Linked DNA regions of Drosophila melanogaster. The protein of the gene in region 1 interacts with the protein of each later gene in a pairwise test. Each region holds a gene or a part of one and is shown in the gene's direction. Other genes may lie near its edges. The genes, in order: Pbp95, CkIIalpha-i3, E5 and otp.

What was found.
Region 2: the proteins of Pbp95 (region 1) and CkIIalpha-i3 interact in a two-hybrid assay, tested with the Drosophila melanogaster proteins (one large-scale study listed by BioGRID).
Region 3: the proteins of Pbp95 (region 1) and E5 interact in a two-hybrid assay, tested with the Drosophila melanogaster proteins (one large-scale study listed by BioGRID).
Region 4: the proteins of Pbp95 (region 1) and otp interact in a two-hybrid assay, tested with the Drosophila melanogaster proteins (one large-scale study listed by BioGRID).

What each region holds. Positions count from the first base shown.
Region 1 is NT_033777.3:8,012,237-8,017,153, forward strand, and holds Pbp95 (PSEA-binding protein 95kD), read left to right. Parts: upstream 1-1,554; 5' UTR 1,555-1,601; coding exon 1,602-2,063; intron 2,064-2,174; coding exon 2,175-2,730; intron 2,731-2,790; coding exon 2,791-3,938; 3' UTR 3,939-4,374; downstream 4,375-4,917. Other genes in the region: CG10435 (uncharacterized protein), read right to left, coding at 1-833; CG2747 (uncharacterized protein), read right to left, coding at 4,444-4,769.
Region 2 is NT_037436.4:708,056-712,342, reverse strand, and holds CkIIalpha-i3 (CKII-alpha subunit interactor-3), read left to right. Parts: upstream 1-1,981; 5' UTR 1,982-1,985; coding exon 1,986-2,033; exon of another isoform or gene 2,034-2,059; coding exon of another isoform or gene 2,060-2,095; coding exon 2,096-2,605; intron 2,606-2,729; coding exon 2,730-2,786; intron 2,787-2,848; coding exon 2,849-3,010; intron 3,011-3,059; coding exon 3,060-3,131; intron 3,132-3,188; coding exon 3,189-3,263; intron 3,264-3,319; coding exon 3,320-3,352; intron 3,353-3,414; coding exon 3,415-3,633; 3' UTR 3,634-3,742; downstream 3,743-4,287. Other genes in the region: CG13896 (uncharacterized protein), read left to right, coding at 586-598, 656-1,401.
Region 3 is NT_033777.3:13,871,886-13,876,679, reverse strand, and holds the start of E5 (E5), read left to right. Parts: upstream 1-1,763; 5' UTR 1,764-2,083; intron 2,084-2,426; 5' UTR 2,427-2,500; coding exon 2,501-3,380; intron 3,381-4,794.
Region 4 is NT_033778.4:20,900,391-20,905,115, reverse strand, and holds the start of otp (orthopedia), read left to right. Parts: upstream 1-1,701; 5' UTR 1,702-2,330; intron 2,331-2,822; 5' UTR 2,823-3,057; coding exon 3,058-3,088; intron 3,089-4,725. UniProt on the Drosophila melanogaster protein: May be involved in the development of the central nervous system.

The sequences.
Region 1 (4,917 bases):
TTATCATCACAGTGAACATGGAAATTGACGCTGTCGAGCGTCGCTTTGGTCTCCGCCAGCGTAGTCATTGCTAGCTCCACCGGAGCTGGCACTTCATTGCCAGATTGCTCCTCCTTGGAATGATCCTCATGCGGCGGCTCCTGCTGCTGCTGATCCTGCTGCTGTTGATCTATGCGCTTCTCCAGCTGTGTCTGGTGCAGAACCTGAGCTAGTATGTCTAGATCGTTGATGGTCTTCAGCTCGATATTGTCGAAAGGTGTGGAGTTCATATTGTACTCAAAGTCTGCGTAGTTTAGGGAGCTGTTACGCTTGTGCAGCGTCTGCGGACTGACCACTGGAGTGGTGCTCAGAATGGTGGGCTGCAAGATATTGTGAAAATTACACACACTTATTGACTTTGGTTCGTGGGAAGAGTCGCGTGACTCAGCGGTGATTGGAGGTGGTGGCTGCTGTTGCTGTTCCTCGTCCCTCTGCTCGGGCTCGTTCTTCTTTCGCTCCTTCTCGTCCTCATCCGATGACAAGTCGTCCGCACTAGGATAATCAACTGCTCCAAGCATCTCCTTCTGTCTCGCCTCCAGCGCCCGTTGGCGTTCCTCCTTGCGACGCTCCTGGCGACTGGCTCGCTCCTCGCGCTGCTGGCGACGCAGGTGGCGCCATCGTTGCGCCTGACTCAGCACGGCCCTCTCCAGCTGACAGTCATACTGGTAATCCGGATGATCCGTGTAGAAACCTTCTCGGAATTGCGACAGGCGATTGAGGGTCGCCTGCGGCAGGTGGTACACGGCAGGCGGTGGTTTGTAGCGCTCGACTATCTTGACCGGGACATCTTCCATGTTATGCTAGCGCATTCACCACGAATTTTGTTAATTAAGTTGCTACTACGCGTTTTTTTTTCTCTGTTCTCTTTTGTTGTTTCTCGAGCAGCAGCGATAGGCGATTGGTATTGTCATCGGTCACTGCTGATTCGCCAATTTCGACTAGTGTTGAATATCGTTTTTCCTTGAGATGCTCACCTAATTAGGTGTACTCAGGCTTGGTTGCGAGTTTGACAACAGCTGATATTAAATCTACCCAAATTTTCGCCAATTTGAGGGCGTATGAAAGGCTTAACAAAAATCGGAATACATTAATAGTTTCTACAGATCACGTTATACAACATAAAAAAATTAAAATTACAAAACATTTTGACATACTAAATATTTTTTGTTACCAAGGGTATCATTATTTAGTGCATGGCGGATAGTTTTAAGATCTTTATTCTAAAAAACTATTTTTGACCAAACTTTTGTTTAAAATAATCCCGCGCTTTTACAACTGAGTTTATTGAAATCATGTTCTTTCCACTAGATAAAACCAAAGTTTCTGGGAATAAATAAGGACGAAAAATGGCAGTTATGATATCTATTTTATCTCTATCTATTCTTTAATAGGTCTTAGTCCAATAATACAGCAATTTCCTATGTAATGTTCAATGTTACTTTATTTGCAGGGTATTAATTTGCTTAATGCAGTTCGACCATTGCAACCATTTTATCGATAGTTGATGCCGGGAATAGTTCATCGCTAAAGTCAAAGGCAATGTAAACAAAACAACCTGAGCAATGGACGATGCCGATGATCTGCGCATAAACCAGCAGCAGCTTATGGACGAGATTTCGGCCCTCTTGCAGAACACAGCGAAGCCGAGCGCCGCCAACGCACTGCAGCTGAATCAGGAGCTCCAGCGCCGGCTCATGCAAGTCCGGACCAAAATTCTGGCCATGTTACAAGTAGTAAGGGCCCGCTTCTCTCGGAACGAGGACATCCTGGTGCGCCGGCTGCGACCTCGTTCCCATTTCGGCCCGAATTCCCTCAATCTTAGCGGGGCGATCCTGCGGAAGGGCACGTTTCGCTTCAAGGGCAACCTGTTTTTCCGAGACATCGATGGTCGAAGCTGTCCTAACAACGAGGATTACGAGGCGCGGTGCCACACGGAGATGTTTCCCACCGACTTTGACATGCACTCCAGACATGTATGGACATTGCTAGACAAAAAGAATGTGATAATGGGTATAAAACAACAGGTGAGTGGACCCTTCGAGTGGTTCAGATTGATTGCCAAATACCCATTTAATAGCAATGAAAAGTTAAATAGCAATACTAATATTCTGTTTTATAAAAAACTCAATTCTCAGTTACTGGAGCATAGGGCCCACAGTACGAATGCGCTGCCCAGCGGAAGCCTGAAGCGCAAGCCAATCGAGCGACACTTAAGTACACTGGTAAGTCTGCTGGCAACTGCGGATAGTAGCTTCAGCATCGACTGGAACCAGATCAGCACCCTGGACTTGGAATATCGGCACTCACCATATAGCTGTGAGGCAATGTGGAGGGTCTACTTAACACCAGATCTCAGGCGAGACGATTGGTCACCCGAGGAGGACGAAACTTTACTGGCGGTGGCCACTGCGAACAGGATGCAGAACTGGGAGTTGATAGCCGCGTCGCTAGACCGACGTTCCGACTATCAGTGCTTCGTACGCTTTCATACCGCCCTACGTTTTCTGCTGGAGCCAAAGAACAGCCACCGCTGGAGCGAAGAGGACAACGATAAACTAAGGGCGATCGTTGATAGGAATACGGCAAACAGTGTAATAAACTGGAAAAAAGTCGTGGAATACTTCCCGGACAAGTCCAAATCAACGCTGATTGGTCGTTACTACTACGTGTTGCATCCTAGCATCAGTCACGGTAGGTACCCAATATATTGAATAATTTTTAATTTATTATTTCGCTCCTTTGAAACTGCAGAACCCTTCACTACCAAGGAGGACATGATGCTGTTCGCCGCCGTTGAAGAGTACAATGGAAAGTTTCACTGTTTTCCGCGTTCTCTTTTCCCAAACCGGTCGTTAACCCAACTCCGAACTCGCTACCACAATGTACTGGCACAACGCAACAAGACCGACTCCTGGTCCGTTCAGGACGACACACGGCTGATGAGCTTCGTAACGCAATACGGGGCTTCCCAGTGGCTTAACTGTGCCACGTTCTTGGGCAATCACACGCGGACCAGCTGTCGAACCCGCTTCCTAGTCATCAAGAAATTCCTTGAACAAAATCCCAATGCAAAAGTGGAAGACCTGCCACGCCGCCGATCGAAGAAGGTGTCCTTGGTTAACTCTGATAACTGGGCGCAGCGTTTGCAAGAGTGGCAAGAGGACCCAGAGTCATTAGTTAATGATAACCCCCCGAAAGGAACTCGGGTGCGCGGTCCCAAATCGAAAAAGGCTAGGATCGAGCGACAGGCAGAGAGTTTCTCAAGACTTTCGAAAGTTGATATAGAGTTCTGCAACTTCTTTAAGTTTAGTTATAATCTGACGCTGAGCACTCCAAAAACTTTTCCAGTTCCAAAAGACGTTTATAACCTTGCCTACGTGATCAGAGCTCTTGCATATAAGCCACCAATTCGACCCTCGCTCTTACAAAACATATTTATGCCAAATGATGTGCTTAAGTGCTACAACAGCATGATCCGAAACCTTCCGGACGAGGAAGGTGATATGAAGAGCCCACTTTTGCCACCCAACTGGTCAACTATGATGGGGTTTCGAGCCTTATGCATTCTTTCCGGAGATTGTCGCAAGGATACGGAAACACGTAGCTTCGAATACAATGAATCTTTACCACCCATCCAGCTTTTCCGCAAGCGGTTGCAAGCTCTTTTCTATCGTACCACTCTTCTCAGCCGCTTGGAATCACAACTCTTTACGGACTTACCATCAGCATTAGTTTCTTTACCACGCCCCAAACACGATTATGCAAAAATGGGTACACATGTTGAATTAATCGATCCAGAGCCGGCACCACAGAATGATCTAAAATCCGAGCCGCTTAGCGAGAATGAAGTGATTAATACAGTCAAGCAGGAATTGGAAATGGAATATACAGTTCCATAGGAACTAATAAGTAAATATGTAATATTGATTAATTTAAGCTTTAAAAGTTTATATTTTTTACTTCATATCGCGTTATATAATAGTTCATTACAATGGCTAACAAATAATTTATAAACTTGTAGGTACTTTTAACGTATTTCACATACAGCAAAATCAAATGCCGGACCGATGTGCATTAGGGTGGCTCATTTTTCTGATTGTAGTTTAAAAATATTGCTTAGGTTTGAAAAAAGGTATATTTATAGCAAAACGCCCTGCAAAACGAAACAATTTAATACACAAGCAGTCAAAAAAACTAATGTATATTTTAGTTGCCGTTTTACAATCCTTTCAAAACTTTTATCCCGGATATTTAGTTATTAGAGCAAAATTGTCTAAACCTTATTTTCAATATAAAAAGAACCGATCCATCCTATTGTTCATGCGGTAACAATGTATTACAAAGCATTTTTATGATAGCACTAGCAGCTTGAGAACTATTTTGTTCGATTCCCGGGGGAGGCGCTCATTGGAAGTTACTGAAATCCGTCTTCAGCTTGATCGTAGGCTTCTGCGGCTTGGCCAGCAGGTTCCTCTGCGCCTCGCTTGCTTTTTGGGCAATGTTAATCGACTGCTGTTGGCTGCGAATGGCCGCTTCTAGTTTTTGTCGCAGTTCCGGTGTTTGACCCATCAGGGCCTTAAACTCCTGCGGATATTTCGGACCGATCTTCAGTAGCCACTGCAGCGCCTGGTCGTGCAGCTGCCGTTGATACTTTGGCAGCGTCCGGAGTCGACTGGGTTCCGCTAGGAAGCCAATGAGCACAGGGACCAACAGAGTCAGCATCTGAATATCTGTGAAGTGTGGACAAGGAACAATTAATATTATAATCCTAAGTTTAAGGGCTTGCTAAACGGAACATCAATTCACAGAGATGGACAAGTCGCTTCATCCCGTACTTTTACTTCATACGTGCAACATTTAAAGCGTAATTTTAATTGA
Region 2 (4,287 bases), on another chromosome or scaffold:
TATTACTACAAAAATCAATATTGGTTTATTAAACTTTTTTTTACTGTGTATACTCGAGTATACGGTACCCGGTTATTTTACATTTATACTACTGCGCCCCTATCGACGAACTGTTTGGGCGACATCTAGCGTCTGTAAATGAAAGTCGCATTGCCGGTAGATGGCAGCACAGTAATAGTTATGTGCTTATTTGTAATGTATGTAGGTCCATTTCAATATTAACTTTCTATAATTAAGTTGCGGGAGGTCTCAACCTGCGGCAAGTACTCACTAAATCCTTACTGCGAGATTTTTAAATTCAAAAACTACATAATGGCAATTAAATGAGGCTAAGATGAGTATTTATATAAAATAAATGTTCTCTTCGGTAGCGAGTATTGATATAGATTAGGCAAAAAATCCATTTTCAAAAAACGAAAGCCTATTCCCATCTTTGTTTCGTGCAACCTTTTCGATAGTTATCGATAGAGAAAAATCGAAACACATATGTTTGGATCATGATACCTTTCTCTTACGCCGTCCGAAAGAACTGGCAGCCTGGGAAACAAAACTTATTCGTCATCAACTGAATAGCTATTGTAAACAATGGATACAAAGTGTGAGTAAAAAACATAAATTCAAGAAGAAAACTATATATATACTCACAATAAGCCAGCTTACGAAAGGAAGTGGTGTACATCCAACACCCGACTTTTATTGTCCCTTTACAATGAACGCCAAGCTGATTTTCGGGATCCGAAAAAAAAGATCAAGGACATTTGGGGGGAAATGGTCGTTGCCCTTGAAAGCCAGGGAATGACAGATATCGATGCAGTTCAGCTGGATCGAAAATTTAGGAACCTGAAGAAGACCTACTATAGCATAAGGAGCAAGCTCCTGGCGAAGGTACCGCATTTCCATCCAAACTGGCAGTTCTACGACGAGATGTCCGAAATTCTAAAGGATGACCCTGTCCCACCGCCGCAGGAACTTTCCATCAATGATTTCGATGAAGCGGTGGTCAGTTTGGAGACCGGTATCCAGAAAGGCAGGATGCTGTCTATGGGCACCACTGTCAGCACAGTTATTCCCCGCCAAATGCGTACGTATCGCAAACGAAAGCAGCCATTGGATGATGTCGATATCAAGATCCAGAAGGACTACGAAGTGCAAACGGATCGGCAGCGGGATGGGGAACAGTTTACAGTCTTTAATGCCGCCGAACCCAATACTAATGATTTGTCAGAGTCTGCGGCCGAGATCTCCATCAGCAACGACGAAGAGGCATTGAGACACCTAAGAGCGCTCCAGGAGTACGCCATGATCCATGATAATTTCAGGGCCATAGGACTGCTAATACAGGTGGAGCACGCCATTCAATATCCAGCCCAGATCAAGGACTTCGAGGTGGATCAAACGTAGTGTCCTTATAAACAAGCACGTAATCTACTGGAAAAGCAAAGATAAGATAAGGCACATACCTAATTTATACCTCTATATTTAAGATTTTAATATTTTATAATATATATACTTTAATTTACTTTATTTAAATATGGTTCATGCACTTGCTAACACCACTGAAAAATGAATCTGGTTCTAAACAAATCTGGCTTGGGTATTGGCTAAAATATTGCGCTGTGGCAATACCGTTTTCTAAAACCTATAGTTACAACAATCTAAAGGAATTTCACAAGAAAAACCAACATTTCTGAAATCTTATTAGTATTTTGAAGAGTAACAAAGTGAATCCTGCCGAGATCAACGCCGATCTGTAAGCAAGTTCGTCTTGGAAATTGACAAAAACCGAAAAATCTGGCAGCACCAATATGACACTAAAGGTTCAAGAAAAGACCTTCGGTTGCACAAAATAGAAAATTCAAACATAATTGAAAAGAATTAACTAGTATCGTGAAAACATGTAATACAGTTAATAAAAAGTTATAGTATTATGCAATATTGATCAAATGAAGCAAACTTTATCGATAACTTCGAAATTGCAACCCTAAATGCATCGGATGGGCAATACCAATCTGAAGTCTACAAAAAAGCATATTGTGGAAGTCTAAGTTTTGTTAAATTTATGGAAAAGGAATCCAATTTATCGGACAACTTGCAGTCCCGGTTATTTGCACTGGGTCCTGCCCCGCCAGGATTTCGTCCACCGGATGCTACCGCCTTTGCCACAGCGGAGTCAAATCTTCGTAATGCCATCCGCTACCTTAATGATACCTATGGCGAGCTCGATCAGCTGCGCACTGTCATCCAGAAGGAGAAGAATAACTCGAAGCGTACGTCCTACAAGGCGCAGTCCATGATGCTTGCCATGCAAGTGATACGTTTCAAAGGACTTATTGGGAAGTACAGGGACATTCTGATTGGCCTGCAGGATGCCGAAATCATCAAGGTCAAACAATACATAGAGCAAATGGTGGAGATGAGGAACAAAATCCAGGCAAAGACCGATCCCACACAGCGCGAGTTCCAAGTGGGCAGCTCAATCTCACTGGTGCAGGAACAGCGCAAGACCAAGAGAATCTGCCGCAGGTGGCGGGATCGCCTGGTCCAGCTGACGGAGGCCAAGATGGACAAAACTGAGCAACTTACTGAGAAACCAAAGCTGATCAATGTAAGAACCGTTACAAAAGAACTTATACATATTTTCATTGCGCTTCCAATATCCATCCATGTTTTCATGAAAACTCTCATCGAATTCTGATCGAATTTCGACTGAACTCGATATGCTTTTTTAGAAACCTAGAAATATGTTAAATGCAAAAACCAACAAGTGGAAGGAAGCTGTAAGCTTGGTGAGTATAGCCAAACATATAAAGGATAAGTTAAATGCTAGTAAATATAAAACTAATCCTAGCAACAAAGCGGTCTAATTAAAAGTGGCTGTAAGAGGTGTGAATACCTAAGAAAGCTGACTAAGAATCGTCCATCCAAACTTTGTAAGGTGTGTAAAAAATGGTCTGATGATGAAAAAGCAAAAGCGGCAGGAAATAAGAAAGCCAACAAAACGCCAATAATGGTATGACACTATTGAAAAGTCGCAACATAAATTAATACTATTATTGCAGGCGAAGTCGAAAAAATTAGAAGTACGCGTGCGTACGGATTCTGAAGAAGCTATAATTAAAATAGAGATAGAGGTGGGTGTGTACAAGTAGATCAACAGTAACATTAGCACTTATTATTAATTTTCTTAGCATGGTGAATTTACCGATGAAGAGGAAATTGGGTCATTGGAAAAGGAAACGACCTTAAAAGATGAGATCAAGGAGGTTAGTTGTTTCTTCAACCTGAAAAATGTGTTTAATTTTGGAATGTTTTTTTTTAGACTGTTGAATCTCACGACACGGCAGCAGTTGAGGTAAGTAAACAGGTCCTTGGACTGTAATAGAACTAACGTAACGATAAATGACTCAATGACAGGAGGAAAATGAGACCAGTCAAGACGATGTGGACCCCAAAGTAGTCGCTTCCTTACAAAATTCACTGAAATCCATCGACTGTAAAAATATGGCCTTGGCCTACGTGAAGGTCTTACAGGAGTACGCCATGTTAAATGATAACTATCGGGCCATTGGACTACTTACTGAAGTTGAAAAATCAGTTTTAAATCCGCCTCAGAACGAGGATTTCGATCTATGATCTTATTGACGCCACAAAAATAAAGTTTAGTTTTTATATGTAATCTACAATTAAAATGTTCGTGTGTCCTGCCTTTGAGAGTCAAGACCCAAAATGTGTAAATAATTGTAATATGCGAAAAGAGTTTATAGAGTGGAATAACCAACAGGGTCCCACTTAAATGTGGTAAACGTTAAATTAAGCACTAGATATAATTTGAGCAAAAATAGCTTTATATATATGTATGTGTACATATCAAACCAGTTTCAGCTCAGATTAGGTGGTAATGCGATTTGTGTTTTTCGGCATGTTAAACCAGTTATAGCTGCTTTAGCGAGAGAATATTTACTCTCGATCCGAAAATAAATCCCATACCGCGAACGAATACCACCACGATCGGAATCGGAACGTGGGAAGTCGGTTTAGATCGCGAGAGAAAGAGCGGAATGTCTCTCGCAAAGATACGGTTTTTGCCGCTCCGCCAAACGGAGGAGAGTCCAGATCTCTGCAATGTTCGGACCGCATGCTCAGTCATTGAGTTGCACTCGCTCTGGCAACTTTAAACACGTGCGACCGCACATATTTTCTGTTTAATGTGCCTAAAAAACTGCTGTATATTTTCAACAAAGTGTACTTTATGCTCTAAGCTTTCCGACTGAGGTATGTAAACAAGAT
Region 3 (4,794 bases), 5.9 Mb from region 1:
ATCAAGTGCGGTAAATGCCAAAAAATACGCCCACAAAATCATTGATTGCCGATCGATAACCTTTTGCGGTGATGGAGCATCCCATAAAGTTCTCGTCCCAGCTCATTGTCTGACTAATTAAATGATTTATCCCGAATCGTGAGGCAGAGGAGCTGGAAAGGAGATGGGAAAGAGTAAAAACCAATTACAATTACCGCACCCAGAGGTGCCACACTCACAGATATAGATATATGTATACGTGTATACATGAGTGCATCTGCGGCAGCAAAGCTGCTGCCCCACCGACAAGCAACGGCCTTATCTAGATGCATACAAATCCAGCCAAGCGCACGTCAATTTATTTGCCAACTCTCGCCTCCTTTCTGGCCAACATCCATATCCATTCATGGCCAAAAGGAGGAGAATCGCATGTATTTACCTATGAGAAGGCTGCGAAGTTGGCGCTGCATGTTTTATGCCTCCTCCTGCATCTTTAACGAGGTGTTTATTTTCACAACTCACAGCCAGCGGATGAGGATGCGGATAGGGATGGGGATGGGAATGGGGATGGGGATGGGTATACAGATACTCGGATGACCACGCACAGATACAGATGCAGATACGTTCCCTTCCCAGCACGCTGTATCTGTATCTGTGAGATTCGCGCAGTTGCAGCTCGCCGAAGGTGTAGAAACCAAGTTACCGCCCATTTTCGTGTCCAAATGCTTTTGGCCAACATGATGCAGATGCCAATTCAGAATGGTAGAATGGCCAAGCGGCGGGGGGAGGGAAAGTGGTTTATAGCCAGCACTGACGACGGGGCGTCTAAGCTATATAAGCGATGACGTTGATTCCACTGCACAGTGGTATCGGCTCGATATCCTTTGAAAAATGCGTATTTTCTACTTTTGAGTTATGTACAAATTTGAACACTTTTTAATATCGATTTTCCAGTAGATAGTAAATAATTTAATACATGAAAACAATTTAAAAACGGTTACTGATGAAAGATAAACGTTTAAGCCTTAAATATTTCAATGAATAAATACAATTCAATTAAATAAAGTTTCAATTTTTTTTTATTGTTAGTATTTGCATAATTAAAAGAGGGCACAGTTCGCTTTTCAATTTTAAATGTTATATTTATTATATTTATTTTTAATCATCGAAGACCTACTTCCTATCCACTGTTCGGGTGCACCACCCCCGTTCCCCCTCCTACGCTCCAACAAACTGGCCAACCCGCTTGGCACTAAAACCACAAACGCTTTAATGATGCTGTTTTGTTTAGCGCAAATTGTTTGTTTCGCTGTCATAAACTGGTGCGAAAAATGGCCAAGAGAGCGACAGAGAGAGAGAGAAAAAGAGAGAGATTGGGGCCCCTCACACACCCACACACCAACAAGCCCAGAGAGCGGGAGAGCGAGCGAGAGAGGAGGTGGCTCCACTTGGAGCCAAGCAGGTTTTCGGAATATCCACTGAACTATTGTTGCGCTGCTTTGGCGCACGCGCACCGAGCCACGTGTGCGAGCGAGACGCCAGCAGTATTGCTGCGCTGGAAGTACAAGCAAAGGAAGAAGAAGCACACTCGAACTGGCCCCACAAACTTTTTGCGGCTTTTTCCAACGCGACACTCGAGCTAAAACGCTCAGCGTGAGAGCCACGCAGCGATTCGCCGACGCCCCCGCCAAAAATCAGGACAGAAAGAGAGAAAGCGAGAGAGAGACAGAGGTTGCGAGCGGCGAAGTGGAGCCAACAATTAGACGCCTTTAGACGCTCCATAATGCTAATGGCGTTGACAGTGCTCATCATCATCGCAGCGCGGCCACCGCAATCGTTTCGTTACCGGGTAGCCGGCATAACCGTTAACCGTTAACTGATACCGCCACCGCCACCGTCAATCGCCAATAGTCAATCGCCAACCATCAATCGCCGCCGTCAATCGTCCAGCGAAGCGGTACGGTCACGCTCCAATCGCCGCGTTGCCGCCGCTCCAGTTACAGTTACAGTTTATCAATGTCACGCCGACGGATGCCAACCGCTGGAGCATCGCAGATACAACGCTACGTAGCTATATAGCTATAGCTATCTGATCGGAAAAACAGTGCGTGTGTGCTTATCTGATATCTAGTAACCATTAACCGATGTACGCGATCATGTTTCCATAGCACCAACCCATTTATTGGGAGCTTCGATCAGTACAACCCTTTTTCCGTTTCCGTTTCTATTCAGTTCAATTCCATTTCAATTTCCATTCCCTTTGATTTTAGTAGGATTTTTACCGTTTTATTTTATTCCTAAAACTTTTAGTTGAGCATTATTCTTTTATTTACTGATTTATCCCGTTCGAAAATACAAAATTTTTTTTTTCAAAAAAGTCAAATATGGAATGGAAAAAATGGAATTTAAGGCCTACAAGTGTTCTTATAATCTACTTCGACTTGCAGAGACTTCGAATCGGGAAGTTTAAGAGGAGGGAAAGTGATTCATTTGTTTTTCCAATCAACGAAACCCCTACCAAATGGTCACCTGCGGCCGGCAAACGTTCAACATGCTGCCCATGGCGCCGACGAGTCCTTTTGTGAGCAGCAGCTCCTCGGTGGCCGCATCCTCGACTTCCGTTTCCGCCAGCAGTACCGTTTCCGCCTCCGCGAGCAGCAAGCCCAAGCTGGCCTTCAGCATCGACTCGATTGTGGGCGAATCCTCGACGAGATCGGCTCCACTAAGGGTCAGTGTGATATCTTCGCCGCCGCCGCGCAGCGAAAGTCCCGCTTCGCCAACGAACACGAACAACAGTGGGCGCCGGACGCCCAGGGGCTATATCTACTGCCGCAGAAGGGATTCGCTGGATCGATCGCGCAGTCCTCAGAGATCACCGGTTAGCCGGTCGCCATCGCCCCCCAATGCAGGAGGCAATCCGGCAGCGGCCGGGAATACTGCAAAGTCCGGGGATCCATCGTCGGGAACGGGAAATCCTCCAACCCTCATCCGTCCGTTGCCTCTGCCGGCGCCAAATCTAGCTTTAATTGGGAACCGCACCTCACCGAACGCCATGGCGGTGCGCATGGCGGGTCCGCCCCACCCGCCGTCGCAGCCACCGCCGTTCCTTGCCGCCCAGTTCCAAATGGCTGCTGCACTGGCTCATCATCACCAGCAGCAACAGCAGCAGCAACAACAGCAACTTCCGCCCGTGCCAACTGGACCGCCACATGGTCCACATCCGCATCTGCCGCCCGGCCAAATTCCACTTGGAATCTTTCCCGGCGGACCGCATCCCGGGCATCCTCCGCCCCACGGACACCATCCGTTCGGGAGTGCGCCGCATCTGATCCGGGATAGCTATCCGTTGTATCCATGGTTGCTCAGCCGACACGGACGCATTTTTCCACGATTCCCAGGCAGTAAGTAATCACACTGTTTTAAATATATCTATTGTTTATTACAATATTTTCAATAAGTTCAGAGTTCAGAGAAGCTAACCGGTTTAGCAAGCGGTACTTTCATATGTATATAAAACCGCTAAAAATTATTTCTATAAATTGAAAAATATAATTTTTATGCATAATCATCTAAGCTAACAATTATTTGTAATAAATTTACTGCAAAATTAATAACAGTTTATATAACAATAATACATATCATTTAATTTAATATTTACCCTATTCTGATAATAAGAGTACATCTCTCTTTTACGGATTATTAGAAAGATAGTTGTTACATATATATTTTTCATATTTGAACATTAGAATATTATGATAGTTTACGGTCGGTTTCTTCTTCTGGAGATAGCAACCACCCCTTTTGTTGGTTATTTTTCGCTATAACGAGTTTTCCGCATTCATTATAGCCGTTTCAAATGGCCGCTGAGTGTTGCGAGCGACAGAGAAAAAGAAACCACACCTTAAGTCATATTCGAAGCCCAGCACCATTATAGTAGAGAGGACCCCAATCAAGCAATTATTCAGTTATCGCTGTTGTTGCCGCGCAGCTCCATATAATTAAAGTTAAATAAGCAAATGGCAAACATTTATTACAAGTTAATTAGACGTGTATCGGGCTCATCATCATCAGAGGGAGCGGGACGGAGAATGGGAGCGAACAGGAAGGGGGGAATGTGGAGGGAACCGAACCCATTTTGATAACTATTTCCAAACAAATTACATTTTAATTAAATTGTTTAAACAACATTACACACATCGTTAGGTCAAGCAGCGTACCTAAATGGCCAGCCAAGTGTGTGAGTGTGTGTTTAGCATTTATTTGCTCTATTTATACTTTTTCTCTTCACTCGAAATTACCATTAATGGCCAACAGACGGCGCCAGTTACTCATGCGGCGGGCCCATGCGGCGTATGTGTAACGTACGAAAAGTGCAACCATTGAAATGTTAATGCGTTTTTAATTGAGGTTTTGGGGCAACCAAGCAAAGAACCGAGAGGAATGGTAAAAAAAAAAAACTGGCAGATAGAAGCGAAGAGCCACCGCAAAGCGCATCTCAAAAACATTGTCATTTATTACGGTTTAACCACTTTTTTCTACCATTCCGCTGCTCTCATGATTACCATTTGAATTTCCAGGCCATGTTGGTATCCATGTTTTTTTTCGGCCGGTTAAATATAATAATAATTTTCGGCACACTCACACGCCTTTCACCTGCTTAAGTGTACATGTATCCCCGTTACGCCTTAATTATGTTGTACTCCGTTTCATTATTTTCTCCCTTTCTACTTGTTTTCCCATTTCCCGCCGCTCCTTCTCTTTTTTCTCACTTTTCTCCGCGCCGCCTGTAATTTTCGCTTGATTTATGAACGTGAA
Region 4 (4,725 bases), on another chromosome or scaffold:
CTTTCCGGGCTTAAACGATTGCCAAACAAAGTCAAAAGAGAACGTCGTGCATGCCGAAGGATTCGGAATCCTTTGCATTTGAGCTGCGCTTTTTTTTTCCGCCATGCTTCTTGGTATGCCGGTCCCGGCAACTCAAGGATTTCGCAGCTGTCCTGGTCACAGTCACTATCTGCTGCCCGGATTTGGCCAAAGTGATTTACGACATGCTCATGCCAGGCATTCAAAATGCGGTCTAATTGAGACTCCTTAGATGATTAATCCTTGGCTAATATGGCGAAATTCAACAAGTCTACGCCGCACATTTCCCATAAATTTATTTTTCTTTTTGCTGCCGATAACGCCTTTGATTAATTAACACACTCGAAGTTTTTTTATGTACCTCATGTGAGAAAAGGAAAAAAAATGAAAAGTGATGCATATGCTCTAATAAGTGAGCCCAACAACGAATTGAGATGTTATCACGATTTATTCGGCTTGTTTACTTTATAATACACTAACAGAAAAATTTCTGTTCGATGTTTTCGACATTTGTGTGGGATTGTTATAAGTATTTCACACGTTAGTATGCAAGTTTGTGAAATACAAGACTTAATAGGTTGTGTACAATTATCAATCTAAATTTATTACGCCACTTATTAAATTTTTTAAATTATTTTAGAACGTTTGTCACCCCGCACAAGTGTGAACCTTGAATTATGCTCATTGCAAAACAAACTACAACTGCTGCGATTTTTTGCATTCTTCTTGTGGTTTTAATTGCTACCTAGAGTTTTTAATTAACGCCCCCGATTTAGCTGTATGTATTTGTCGGAGGGAGAAGGCCAACATAATTTGCAGACTTTTGAGGGGCGGTGGGAGGACTTTGAACTGGGCGCAGGAAGTGGGGTGGAAATCCTTTGAATTGCGGTTGCCATGACAAACTCTTATTTCGCCCGGCATTCCGTTGTCTGGCTAATTCAACGTTTGTGCAGCATGCAAAATATTATAAAATTCCGCCAAATGTCGGAGGTACTTCCCCTCCAGCAAAAAGACGGGCAAAAAAAAAAAACGGAAACAAAAACTAATAAACGACAACAGGTGAGGCTGAAAGCTGACACGTGGCATCAACAACGCTGAGTAAGAATTCAAGGCGCATTTTTGGGAGGAGTGGACTTTCAGCAATAACTGTGGCCCAAGCGCCGGTTGCCAACGCGACCAGCTGTGGAGTATAGTTGAAGTTTTTCGAGGGGAATCGAGGTCTGTTTCGGCATCGATGATAGCCCGCCTATCGATAGGCGGCAGGACCTGTTATCGCCGAGGGCGCCAAAAAGTGCTATCGTTCGGGGCCACAAGCTCCCGAGTTCCCTCATTCGTTGGTCTGCATTGAGGGCGTGGTCTGGCCTACGCACAGCGAGTATAGCCGACCCGCTCTAGCAACCACTTGGCAGGGCAAGCGCGAACGAGTCAGCATGCTTGGCTCGACGGCAAGATGGCTGTGGGCTCAGCTAGCTGTCTCCTTTCCTCGCCCGCCCGGGGCACTGGCACGGTGTGTGCTCTTTGCGATTTTTGCAAATCAATGCGAGAGATAAGCCCGCTGGCAGAGATAACGCTTGACTTAACCGTCAATTGTGCGAGGGGGTGGCGATTGAATGCGGCGCCAGTGCGCAGTCGTTGTTGTCGAAGTTATCAGGTTTCGTAGTCAATTCGCTTTGATTTTTTCGCACTGCCCTCAAATGCAAGCGAGCAGCGCTACGTATACGGCGTACAGCTCCCATACGATACAATAGTGCGATCCGAAACAATTCGATCCGTTTCCGTTTGCTAGTGCCTAGAAAGCCGTCGCACTGGCAGAGACCATTAACCGAATTGATCTAACTGGGAAGTGCCAAGGAATAACTAAGTGAAAATGTGCCCGAAGTGTAAAAATGCTATCAATTAAACAGTAGAAAACAAGGACGAGTGACCACACCCGAAGGTGGAAGCAAGCCGTGTCCTCCGCCGGACAGTGTCCGGCTGTCAGTTGGTCAAACAGTTCATCAATAAACGATTCGACTTCCGTTTCATTGCGTGTCCCTAAGCTGTGCATGTCTGCGTGTCTGTGAGTGCGATTGTGTGTGTGTGCCAGCTGTGCGCGTGTGTGTGTGTGTGTGTGGGAGCTAAGGAAACTTTTCAACTTCCGGCCAAGTGACTTGGATTTAATTTCTTTGGCTTTTTTATGGTCAAGGCATTTAATTAATTTTACTATGGCAATTTGATCGTCTGCTGGCCTGAACTCTGACCCCAGCCCATAACCCTGTGGCATACACAAAAAGCAAGGAGGCGGAAAAAGGACGAGCGATAGGAGGAGCCAGGTGAGTCCTTGGCCAAATGAGCAATAAAACTCAATGCAAATGCCCACACAATCGAACTTCGGCAGAAGTTTCTGCGGTTAAGGAAAGTGAAACGGATTTAGTTTTCTGGTTAGTCGCACAATAGTTAAATTACCCAAATAGCTGGACATTTGACAGGGGTCAAAGTTCAAGAGAGGGCTGGGCCAAATATTCACAACACACGAGCAATTAGTATACTTAAATGTTTTGCCAAGACAAAAATCAAACATTCATTTATGATTCCAGAAATCTTGATACATTGTAAGCAGTTTTATTGCATATGATTGTATACTATAAACATAAACAAAAACTTTGCTAAACAAGTTAATGACCATTTTCTCTTGTCAATTTAAAAACTTTTAGTATTGAAAATTAACAAGTACTTCCAAAAAAGCACAAAGTCACCTATGTATGTTTATATTTGCGTTGAGCAGAAGCCACCCATCCAAAAATAACAAATCTGTTTACTTGCAGCCACACCCATTTCCACCGAACAATTGAGATGTAATTTGCACCGCAGGTGAACTTCAACTCCAACGTTCTGTGATAGACGAGTATACGAGCAGGAACTCCCATTGGGATTCCGCCACCACCAGTCGATATCGATTCCCGATTCAATCAAATTGGATCCCGAATCCTAACTTTCGGAGCAGCAATCAGAAACAGCGACAAACTGTCGACTCTGTCGATCCGCAATTTCTCGGCAAACATGCTGAACAATCTTGGGGCCAATGTGCTGGGTAAGTTACGCCCCCAATCCTCGATAGCGTTTTAAGTGCGGGCTGCGGGCGGGAGCTGCGTATAATGTTGCAATTAAGATCGCCAAGTGAATTGCGCTAATGTATAATAATGTGTGTATTAATCCATGGCATACGATCCGCCTGGCCATAATTAAACTAATTTCTTGAGCACACCCACAAAAGATCGGAGGGGTAGTTAGTCGTACTTCCGATCTGGCGATTGCCATCGCATCTCCCATGTCTGCTAAATGGCCTATAATTGAGACGTCTAACCAGATGGCGCCAGGTGTCGCGTGCATTTAGCAATAATTAAGTTGTGTATTTAACTAACTCGGCAAACCTTCTCCGATTCCCATTCCCATATGCCTATGCCCATTCCGAATCGAGTGTGGGTGGGTGTGTTTGTGTTAATTGATATAATTGCTCTTTTAAATATGCCGCAAATTGTGAATTACATTCACACATTCACCCGGCGCACGCACATAATTATCAAACTGTACTTGTGTCCTCATATTAATATATTAATAATTCCGAATACACATATGTACATATGTATGTGCGTGTGTGCAGGTGAATAAATTATTTTTACCACACTGTTGATCAACGATTCAAGCACTTTCAATTTTGGCAATCAATTTGTTGTTAGCCGTCCAACACTACCAGAAAATACAGTTTGCAAGTGCATTTGCAACTGCAACTGCAGCAGCCATGGATGAGTTATGGCTCGCGTTTATATTCAATTTTTATTGCCAGCATCCTTGCGTCCTTCGAAGCGTTGCCATTAATTACTTTTATTAATTTATTGCCATTTTTCACGCGCCAATTGTCGCCGCTCGGTGCACGCGGCGTATGCGTAATGTCCATAGTTGCCATTGAAGATGGGTGTTTAATTAAGGGCTAGCAAGCGAAACTGATCTGACGGTTTGCTATCTGCCATGGATTGCGACTGCCAAAGTTGGCTTTTAAAGTTTTCGCCGGCTTCAACTTTAGCCAGCTCCATTTGCCCACGAAGAACTATAAATTTCAATGAATCGCAGTGCGGAATCCTTTGGACAAATCCTGCCCGCAGTGCTGGAGTCTGCCATAATAAATTTCGTGAGCCTTTTTCCGAGTTTCGCACAACAGAGAGGCCAAAAAACATTTGCATACTGGGTGCGTGGCCGAGAGGGGCAAAAGTGGATGCCCCCCTAACCACCCCTTTACAATTAAGAGCAATTTGCATGCAAAAGAAATGGCAGAACTTTCCCCGGATTCGTATTGTCTCTCCCCTACTAATGCTTAATTTGCATGCAGCGAAAGGAGCTCGAATGGCGTTTCGTTTGGGCGCTTTTTTCGTGAGCCTCGCATTAATTAAATTAATTTCATGATTGCATTTGTAATTTGCACAGACCCCCTTCAGGTTTACCCCCACCCGTCCGTTGCATCCACGAAATATCTGCGCGTGCTTCGCTTTGTGCGTTCGGCATTTTTGCGGTGGCCTAGGCTAGTGAAATATGTGTGCTTAACCCCGCTGAACACCGCTTAACCCCCCACTGCCATATCCGCTTTGCATTGAAATGTTTTGCGGTTGCTGCGGATTCTGTTCCCAGTTGCGGTTAGTTGTTGGAGCAGCCCAGATTCCATGCCATGCCATGCCA